2 linked regions of the Oryctolagus cuniculus genome follow. The protein of the gene in region 1 interacts with the protein of each later gene in a biochemical or structural test. Links are inferred from orthologs where the notes say so. Each region holds a gene or a part of one and is shown in the gene's direction. Other genes may lie near its edges. The genes, in order: MAPK12 and HTRA2.

Region 1 (4,232 bases):
CCACGAGTGGGCAGTCTGCTCTTGCCCTGGGCTTTCGGGAATTGGACCTCCAGAGGCCTGGTCAGTATGATGGCCACTGCTGGGGGAGCCCTGGAGACCAGGAGGGACCATGTCCATCATTTGGGGTAAGAGCTGGGGCGGGGCTTGTGACACACCCACCTCCAGAGCCTGCTGTGGCATGGGGCCCTGCTAGGCCCTGGGCCCTCATGAAGGGCGGGGGCTTCTTGGGTCAGGCAGGTGGAAAACAAGGGGAAGCCGTGGCTGGAGTGCCACACACTGCCCCTGCCCAGTGCTCACAGCTGGTGAGTGCTCCAGCCCCCCTGCCATGAAGCCCAGGTGCAAAGCAGCTGGATGGACAGGGCATGGAGGTGGGGCAGGGACCCTGGCCCTGGCCCAGATTTTCTCGGGAGGGGGCTTCACCCATGGGGGCAGGCCCACCTTCCTGGAGAGAGGGCAGTGCGGTTCATCCGGGATTCAGGACACACTGGCGGATGCCTGGAGCAGGCACCCCACCTGCAGCCGTGCTAGAAGGGGAGCTGGGCGTGCCCCTCTGGCTGCCAGGTTGGGAGGCTGGGGTCTGCAGGCACAGGGCTGGGCGCTGGGCGTGCCGTGTGACCTTCAGGAGGGGGGAACCAACCTCTCCCCGTGGAAGGAGGGATGCGGGCAAGACACAATGTAAAATGTGGGGGCTACTGCCTGCAGTGCTGGCGTCCATGTGAGCACCACATGGGAGACCGGGAAGAGGCTCCTGGCTCCTGCCTTCGGATAGGCTCAGCTCCTGCAGTTGAGGCCATCTGGGGAGTGAAGCAGAAGATGGAAGATTCTCTCTCTGCCTTCCCTTCTGTAACACTGCCTTTCAAATAAATACATCTTTAAGGTGCACTGTGGGGCGCTGAACTTTCGGGGACTGATGGATGGTAATGTGGGCACCCTGGGAGTGGGGTGGGGATCTGGACACCCGCGTGAGATGCGGCCTGGCCCAGGGGACGGGGACGAAGGGCTGGGCGGAGGTAACGGAAGGGCAGGTGGATAGCGACCTTGGATGAGCCCAGCGCCCCGGGAGGACCGCGCTGGGGCCGAGGGCCGGCGCTCCCCTCCCCCCAGCCTTGCTCCCTCCCCGGGCGGCGGCCGCTTCGGGTTTCCGGAGGGGCCGGAGGGCGGGCGGGGGCGTCACGTGTGCGTGGCCCTGGGGCCGGTTGGTCCGCGAGCGGGGGAGGGGCCGCGTGCTGCCGGGGCTGGCCGGGGTCGGCGGGCTGCGGGGCCGGAGGGCGCGCGGAGCCTCGCCGGCCCGCGATGAGCTCGCCGCCACCGGCCCGCAAGGGCTTTTACCGCCAGGAGGTGACCAAGACCGCCTGGGAGGTGCGCGCTGTGTACCAGGACCTGCAGCCCGTGGGCTCGGGCGCCTACGGCGCCGTGTGGTGAGCGCGGGCCGCGGGATGGGCGGGGGTCGGCAGGCCTGGCCTCCCCGCTAAGCGGTGCGCCCCGCAGCTCGGCAGTGGACAGCCGCACGGGCGCCAAGGTGGCCATCAAGAAGCTGTACCGTCCCTTCCAGTCGGAGCTGTTCGCCAAGCGTGCCTACCGCGAGCTGCGCCTGCTCCAGCACATGCGCCACGAGAACGTGAGGACGCGGGGTCCCGCCTCCCGGCCGAGGGGCCCTCCCACCGGCCTCCAGTCCCCGCTGCAGGGGAGGGGCAGCGCAGTCCCTCTGTGGGGGACACCCTTTCCCTTCCGCCCAGCGTCTGACTGCCTGCTGGTTCCGCAGCTGGTTTCTCTGCCGGGGACCGGGCTCTGTCCAGGCCTCGGCCCCGTGCTGGGGAGCGGGTGCTGGGGCGGGGTGTCGGGTAGGGGTTCCTGTTTCCAGGGACCGCCCTCCTTTGGTCCCAGTGCCGTTCTCCAGCGCCCACTCTGCTCCAGGCAGGCAGGGGCCATGGGCAAGGCCATCCCCGGGGAGGGTGGGGTCTCCGGTAGGAGCAATGGCTCAGGGAGCTGGTGTCTGCAGAGCTGAGGGCTGGAGGCCATTGCGAGGACATCACACATCCTCCTGGGGGCATCTTTTCCCATCCTTCCCCTGGCTCCCCACACATGGCTGCCCCAGGTGTCTCCCAGGGCCACTGCTGGCTGCTAGGAGCTCCTTCTGCCAGGGGGAGTTCTCGCTCCTCCACCCGGGTTCCCTGGGGCCCAGAGTTCTGTCCCCTCCCATCCATGCCACACTGTCTCAGCCCCTGGGGTGGGCCCAGTCTCAGGGCCATGGTCTGGGTGGATGTTCTGGTCTCCCAGGTCCCTGGAGCTGCCAGACCCTGGGAGAAGGACTCCTCGTGTCCAGCAGCAAACCTGGGTGTCGGCCACTGACGCTCTCGGAGGCCCTTTGTTCTCCTCAACTGCCACCTCGCCCCTGGCCAGGGCTCACCCCTTTCTGCGTGAAACCCACTGGGGGTGGACACCAATCCCACGAGGCAGCCTCTTGGACCGCAGGTCTTAGCCAGCTTCTCACCCACACTCGCATTCATGCTCACCCACCACCCCCTGTGCTGCCTGGGCTCTGGGCTTCAGTCACCACCCATCTCCGATCCCCTGTGCTGCAGCCCCAGGCCAGAGGGTCCTGCCATCCTGGGGGCTTCCTGAGCTGCTTGCGGCTGGGCAGCTCTGCCTGCGGGAGCCCCGTTCTCCCACGAGGAAGCCGAGTGCCTTGCTCAGGGGAGGAAGGAGCTGCCGTGGGTCCCAGTCCTGCCTCCCTTGACCCCCTCCTGTGGTCTCTCCGGGCCACTTCCCTCGATTCAGCCCTGGCCCCCTACTCTGGGCTGTGATCTACTTACATGGCACAGAAGTCCCTGTCCATCCGATAGCCCCCACAAGAGTGCCCCCAGGTCTTCACATCTGTGGTCACCTCCGTGAGCCCACCTGTCCCCAGGCCCTGCTCCACATGTCCCACACTATTCCCTTCTGCCCACAACTCTGGTGCTGGTGGCTGCTGTGGGCAGCCACCTGTCCATCCACCTATATTCTTTTTTTTTTTTTTTCAAGATTGTTTATTTGAAAGAATTACGGAGAAAGAGAGAGCTTCCATCTGCTGGCTCCCTCCCCATATGGCTGCAATGGCCAGGGCGGGGCCAGGAGCTTCATCTGGGTCTCCCACGTGGATGCAGAGTATCCAAGCACTTGGGCCATCTTCTGCTGCTTTCCCAGGCGCATTAGCAGGGAGCAGGATCGGAAGTGGAGCAGCCTGGACTTGAACTGGTGCCCATATGGGAAGCTGGTGCTGCAGGTGGAGGCTTAACCCACCATGCCACAGCGCCAGCCCCTCAGTCTGTTCTTGCCTCACTCCCACCTGTCCTTGCCCCACAGCCAGGGGGATGTGTTCTGTACCCCACCCTGGTTTACACTCTTCAGTGGTGGTTCTCAGGATCAGAGCCACACCTGCACCTGTCGGTTCCTCCCTGCCCTGGCCTCACCTGGTCTCCTTCCCTGTGTCCCTACTCTCCTTGTGCTGTGCCACCTTGCCCGTGGCCCTGCCCGCCGGGTCCAGCGTCCCCACCCTGGCTGCTTGCATGTGCAGTCGACACCTGTTTGCTGTCCTTGCCGCCTCACGGGGCCTCTGCAGGACCAGGTCTGGCTGTCCCTGTGTTGCCCGCCTGGGTTGCACCGGCAGAGGCAATGGCTCTGGGAAGGGCCTCTTGGGTATCTGTCCCCATCCTGGTCCTGTGGGCTGCTTGGTTGGGAAGAGGAAGGGGGGAGGAAGGCCGAGGGGCTGGGAGCCCTCTGGGTGGTTCAGAGCCAGCACAGACTTGAGGCTGCCCCTCCCCCAGAGCATCCCAGCTGTCACCACCCAAAAATAACCGTGCATGGGTGAAGGTGCCAGGGCTGAGCCAGTGGGGAGACGAGGCCAGCTGCGGGGGGGTCCTGCCCACTGTGCGGCACCACCGAGCCCTTGCATCCTCTGCTGCACCCTCCCCCACCTGGCGCTCTGGCTCTCCCCCAGGTGATCGGCCTGCTGGACGTGTTCACCCCAGACGAGACCCTGGACGACTTCACAGACTTGTGAGTGCTGGCTGGGCTGGCCGGGCAGGCCAGTAGGGCACTGGCTGGCTCCTGGGCACCAGCGTTAGGTTCTGGGTCGGCAGGGGGCCTTTCCCCACAGCCATGGTGACGGGCGCTGGGATACACCCTGTTCACTCTGTGTCCGGACCCAGGCCACTCCACACCCCCTCCCAACATGTTCCTGGGACCCTTGGGCA
Region 2 (4,503 bases), on another chromosome or scaffold:
TACAAAAGGATAAGGCAGAGGCCACTACTTTGACCTTGAGGTGAGCCTCTCCCCAGCCACCAAAAAGCGAGGACAGTTAATACCTTACTTGATACACCGTGAAAGGGACGAAAAGTGACCACAGCAGTTCTGAGACCCAGGAGGCATCTGACACCGTCTGAGAGGAAGGCATGAAGTGAGGCCCGAGCCAGGGCTGGGGGTGAAAAACTTCCCCTCCAAGACCCGAAGCTTCCCTTCCCCACACACTCACCACAGAGACCAGGGGTCTCTGAACTTGCAGGGTAAGAGGTTGTACCACATCCTGGATGGAAAATGGCCAGGAGCTAGAAGAGGAAGACAGAGGAGGATGGGAGTCCAGTCAGCCCAATCAGTAGCTCACATCTGCCTTAAAACAGGAAACTATCAAACTGCACAAGCAGATGAAGAGAAGGGATTGAGGGTGAAGAAATAAAAGCGCACATAAAGGACAGGAGCTGGGGACGGAGAGCGTAGAAACCAAACAAGGCTGTGGAAACCCACCTACCCAACTGAGCCCGATATCTGTGCTCACCTACCTGAAGCGCAGAAGCCCCTCCCGGCCATTGGTGGCCTCTTCCTCGGGGAACAGCAGCAGAGGGGTGGGAGGAAGCCTCGTGGAAGCACAGAATCTCTTGAGGGACTCCACCAGCTCCCCCTGCCCGTCCATCTCCATGAAGCCCCGAGACCAGCACACAAAGCTGGGGGGACTGTTGAGTAGAGGCTGGGGACCGCGGAGGAGACAAAGCAAGAAGAAACCCATGGAGGGAAATGAGGGAAACTGATGTGAGGGTAAAGGAGCGGGATTAGGGGAAAGGTTCTGTATCGCCCAAGGGAAACCCGACGGGGATAGGCGAGCCTTGAGCTGGGTCCCCAGGAACTGCCCTGCGGGGCTTTGGCCCCCACTCACGGTGCTACAGGTGGTGAGCAGGTTGACGATGTTGTGGTCGAAAGGTGTCACGTGATTGGAAATGAGGACCCTGACGCGGTGATCCCGGAGTCCAGAGTCCTCCTGGCGGGCCACGAGTCCCAGAACCGCACACATGGTCCGCACCACGAACCTGGGGACACAGGCGGTAGTGACGGTGCGGCCTCGGGCCGGGCCCACTCCTGACACTCTCCGAGCCCCCGAATTGGAACCTGCGAAGGACGCTGTCTGGCAGCGCGCAGCTGACCAGGAAGACGTGGATCCCGAGAAAGAGGCGCAGGACGAGGAGGCAGAACCCGACGGGCGCGTAAAGCAGCAGCGCGAGGAGCAGGAAGCCGTCACCTGGGAGCCTGCGGGAGAAAGGCGACGTGATCGGGTGCCGAAGGTCGAGACGGCCCGGGAGCTGGCTTCTTCCCGCGAAAGCTCTTACCGGTGCGAATCAAAGAGCCGCTCCGGCCCCGGTGCCGGGGGAGGCTCCATAGCAGCTGCTTTAGGGGTGTCCGGCCGTCGCCGCCGCCATCTTCGCGCCCGGCCGCAGGGGCTCCTGGGAAGGCGGAGTCTTTGGGCATCCGCCCAGGGTGCTGGAACCCGAAGTCCGGAGGCGCCCCGGAAGGGCTAGCGGTCCCGGCATGCCCCGCGGCCCCTTGGGCCGCCTTGGAACTCGCGTCCCTCGGGAACCACAATTCCCGGCATTCGCGGGGCGGGGCGGGGCGGGGCGGCGTCGACTTTCCGGGATCCTGCGTCCCGGCGTGCACTTCTGGAGGACTTCAGATACCGGCGTGCGCCGCGTCTTGCTGTCCGCCCGCTTACGTCCTGGGCACCGCCTCTGAGAAGGGCGGGCGAGGAGGCAGCCGAGGCGGAGCAGATGGCTGCGCTGAGGGCGGGGCGGGGTGCAGGCTGGAGCCTCTGGGGATTGCGGGCTTTGGGGGGCATTCGATGGGGGAAGGGACCCCTGTTGACCTCTGACCTGCGGGCTCTGCTGACGTCAGGAACTCCTGACCTCCGGGCCCGGATGACCTATGGGACCCCCAGTCTCCGGGCCCGGTTGGCTGTGGGGGTCCCTGAACCCCGGGCGTTTCTGACGTCTGGGTCCCCGGATCCCCGGCCACGACTGACTGCAGGGGCCCCAGATTCCAGGCCGCGGGAGGCCTCGGGGACCCCTGGAACCCGTCCACGCGTGTGGCTGGCGGTGGCGCTGGGCGCTGGGGGGGCGGTGCTGTTGTTGTTGTGGGGCGGGGGTCGGGGTCCCCCGGCTGTCCTCGCCTCAGTCCCTGCTCCGCCGCCAACCTCTCCGCGGAGCCAGTACAACTTCATCGCAGACGTGGTTGAGAAGACGGCACCTGCTGTGGTCTATATCGAGATCCTGGACCGGTAAAGACAGGGTTGACTGGAAGGCACTGAAGCCACAGGCCTAGAGGCGGGCAAGCGGTGGTGGTGGGGTGGTCAGAGCCTCCTTATACCCAGGCCCCCTTACCCCTGCGGCAATCCCAGGCACCCTTTCTCGGGCCGCGAAGTTCCTATCTCAAACGGCTCAGGATTCGTGGTGGCGGCCGACGGGCTCATCGTTACCAATGCCCATGTGGTGGCTGATCGGCGCCGAGTCCGCGTGAGGCTGCCTAGCGGCGACACATATGAGGCCATGGTCACCGCTGTGGATCCCGTGGCAGACATCGCCACGCTGAGGATACAGACCAAGGTGGGGGTCGGGGGGGGGGCGGGCAGGCCAGGTTTGTGTGGAGTTGTCTTGTAGCTCCCGTCACCAGATGACAGGTCTCCTGTACCCGTTCTCCCTTAGGAGCCTCTCCCCACACTGCCTCTGGGACGCTCGGCTGATGTGCGGCAAGGGGAGTTTGTTGTTGCCATGGGAAGTCCCTTTGCGCTGCAGAACACGATCACATCTGGCATTGTCAGCTCTGCTCAGCGCCCAGCCAGAGACCTGGGACTCCCCCAAACCAATGTGGAATACATTCAGACTGATGCAGCTATTGATGTGCGTCCTGATGCAAGGGCATTGCATTGGCAGACTAGGTCCGGGCAAGGGTGAGCTGGGTGGTACAGGTGCCAACTGAGGGGTGGTAGAGGTTGGGCTGCAGAAATGTGGCCACACTCATGTATGGGTTGGGGAAGCAGAGAAGTTTGGAGAGAGTGCCTACCTCCTGTGTGTGTCCCCAGACTTAGAATTCCCAGACCTTTCCCATGTTTTCTCCTTGTGCTGCAGTTTGGAAACTCTGGAGGTCCCCTGGTTAACCTGGTGAGTGGGACATTCTTCTTCCAAGGCCCCAGGTCAGTGTGAGGAGGGGAGGGGCTTCAGTAATTCTAGGATGTTTGCTTATGTTTCTGAGCAGGCTCTTGTTGCCTGTCTCCCAATACAGATTCCCCCAACACTCCATGCTTCTACTCGTGTTCCGGGGGCCCCCATCCCCTACTATCTGTTTGGGCTAGGGAACAGGGGGCTGTGTCCCTGCAGGATGGGGAAGTGATTGGAGTGAACACCATGAAGGTCACAGCTGGAATCTCCTTTGCCATCCCTTCTGATCGCCTTCGGGAGTTTTTGCATCGAGGAGAAAAGAAAAGTGAGGCTGGCTCAAGGGGTGGGGGTTCCCTTTAAGAGCTGGGTGGGACATTCTTTGGGACTTGCTGGAGGGGGAGTCTGTTGTGAGGGGGAAGGAAGGATGTAGCTGGATGGGGCTCATTCATCCCTGTATCACAGATTCCTGGTTTGGAATCAGTGGGTCCCAGCGCCGCTACATTGGAGTGATGATGCTGACTCTGACTCCGAGGTATGAGCATTTGGGGTCATGACATGTGGGACCACCAGTAGAATCAGTGGTGAGCAACTGGCACTTCCGTTGAGCTTGGTTTGCTTTCTTTCCTGACTTTATCTAAGATGAGCTGTCTCACATTCGGGGCTCTCCCAAGAGCTGGCCCCTCTCATCATCTTGACCTTCTCACCTCACTCCATTTTGTACACCTGTCATAAGATTGATTTCATCCTGTTCCTGTGTTCATTTAAAGCTGTCAGTTAGCCTGGCCTGTTTTCCGTGTCTCTAAATCATCCTTTCAGACCTGGGTCCCATTACTTCCTATGTGAATACTCAGTTCCAGCCAACCTGGTTTCCTGCTTCGTGTTTTTATTTATGCTGATCTTGTTTTACATAGTTAATAGACCCATCTTTCTAGGCTCAGCTTAAGTTGTACTCGCTCCTTAAAGCTTCCCAGGATTCTAGAGTGACATTAGTGCTATTGATTTAACACTGGTGTCATTTGGAATTAGTTATCTTTCATGGACATGTCCCACTTGTGAAACACAAGGAGGCAGAAAGTGATCAGTCGCCTTTGTACTGACCGGTACATGTCCTGTCCATACACGTGTCAGCGTGATGGGAGGCTTGAGATGAACTTAGGAGAGGGCGGGTGCGGCAGTGTGGCTACCAGGGTGATCCGTGTCCTTGCAGCATCCTTGCTGAGCTACAGCTGCGAGAGCCAAGCTTTCCTGACGTGCAGCATGGCGTGCTCATCCATAAAGTCATCCTGGGCTCCCCTGCACACCGGTAAGGGGA

The links.
Region 2: of the proteins of MAPK12 (region 1) and HTRA2, one has a biochemical effect on the other in vitro, tested with the Homo sapiens proteins (2 studies listed by BioGRID and IntAct, with this or other methods). The link is inferred for Oryctolagus cuniculus from reciprocal best matches to the Homo sapiens genes MAPK12 and HTRA2.

The regions. Positions count from the first base shown.
Region 1 is NC_091442.1:123,209,036-123,213,267, reverse strand, and holds the start of MAPK12 (mitogen-activated protein kinase 12), read left to right. Parts: upstream 1-1,200; 5' UTR 1,201-1,293; coding exon 1,294-1,418; intron 1,419-1,488; coding exon 1,489-1,618; intron 1,619-3,976; coding exon 3,977-4,035; intron 4,036-4,232. UniProt on the Homo sapiens protein: Serine/threonine kinase which acts as an essential component of the MAP kinase signal transduction pathway.
Region 2 is NC_091433.1:128,427,722-128,432,224, reverse strand, and holds the start of HTRA2 (serine protease HTRA2, mitochondrial), read left to right. Parts: upstream 1-1,699; 5' UTR 1,700-1,808; coding exon 1,809-2,314; intron 2,315-2,434; coding exon 2,435-2,639; intron 2,640-2,738; coding exon 2,739-2,971; intron 2,972-3,115; coding exon 3,116-3,194; exon of another isoform or gene 3,195-3,226; intron 3,227-3,288; exon of another isoform or gene 3,289-3,410; coding exon 3,411-3,516; intron 3,517-3,653; coding exon 3,654-3,723; intron 3,724-4,398; coding exon 4,399-4,494; intron 4,495-4,503. Other genes in the region: lipid droplet-regulating VLDL assembly factor AUP1, read right to left, coding at 84-157, 251-323, 555-1,076, 1,156-1,293, 1,374-1,423.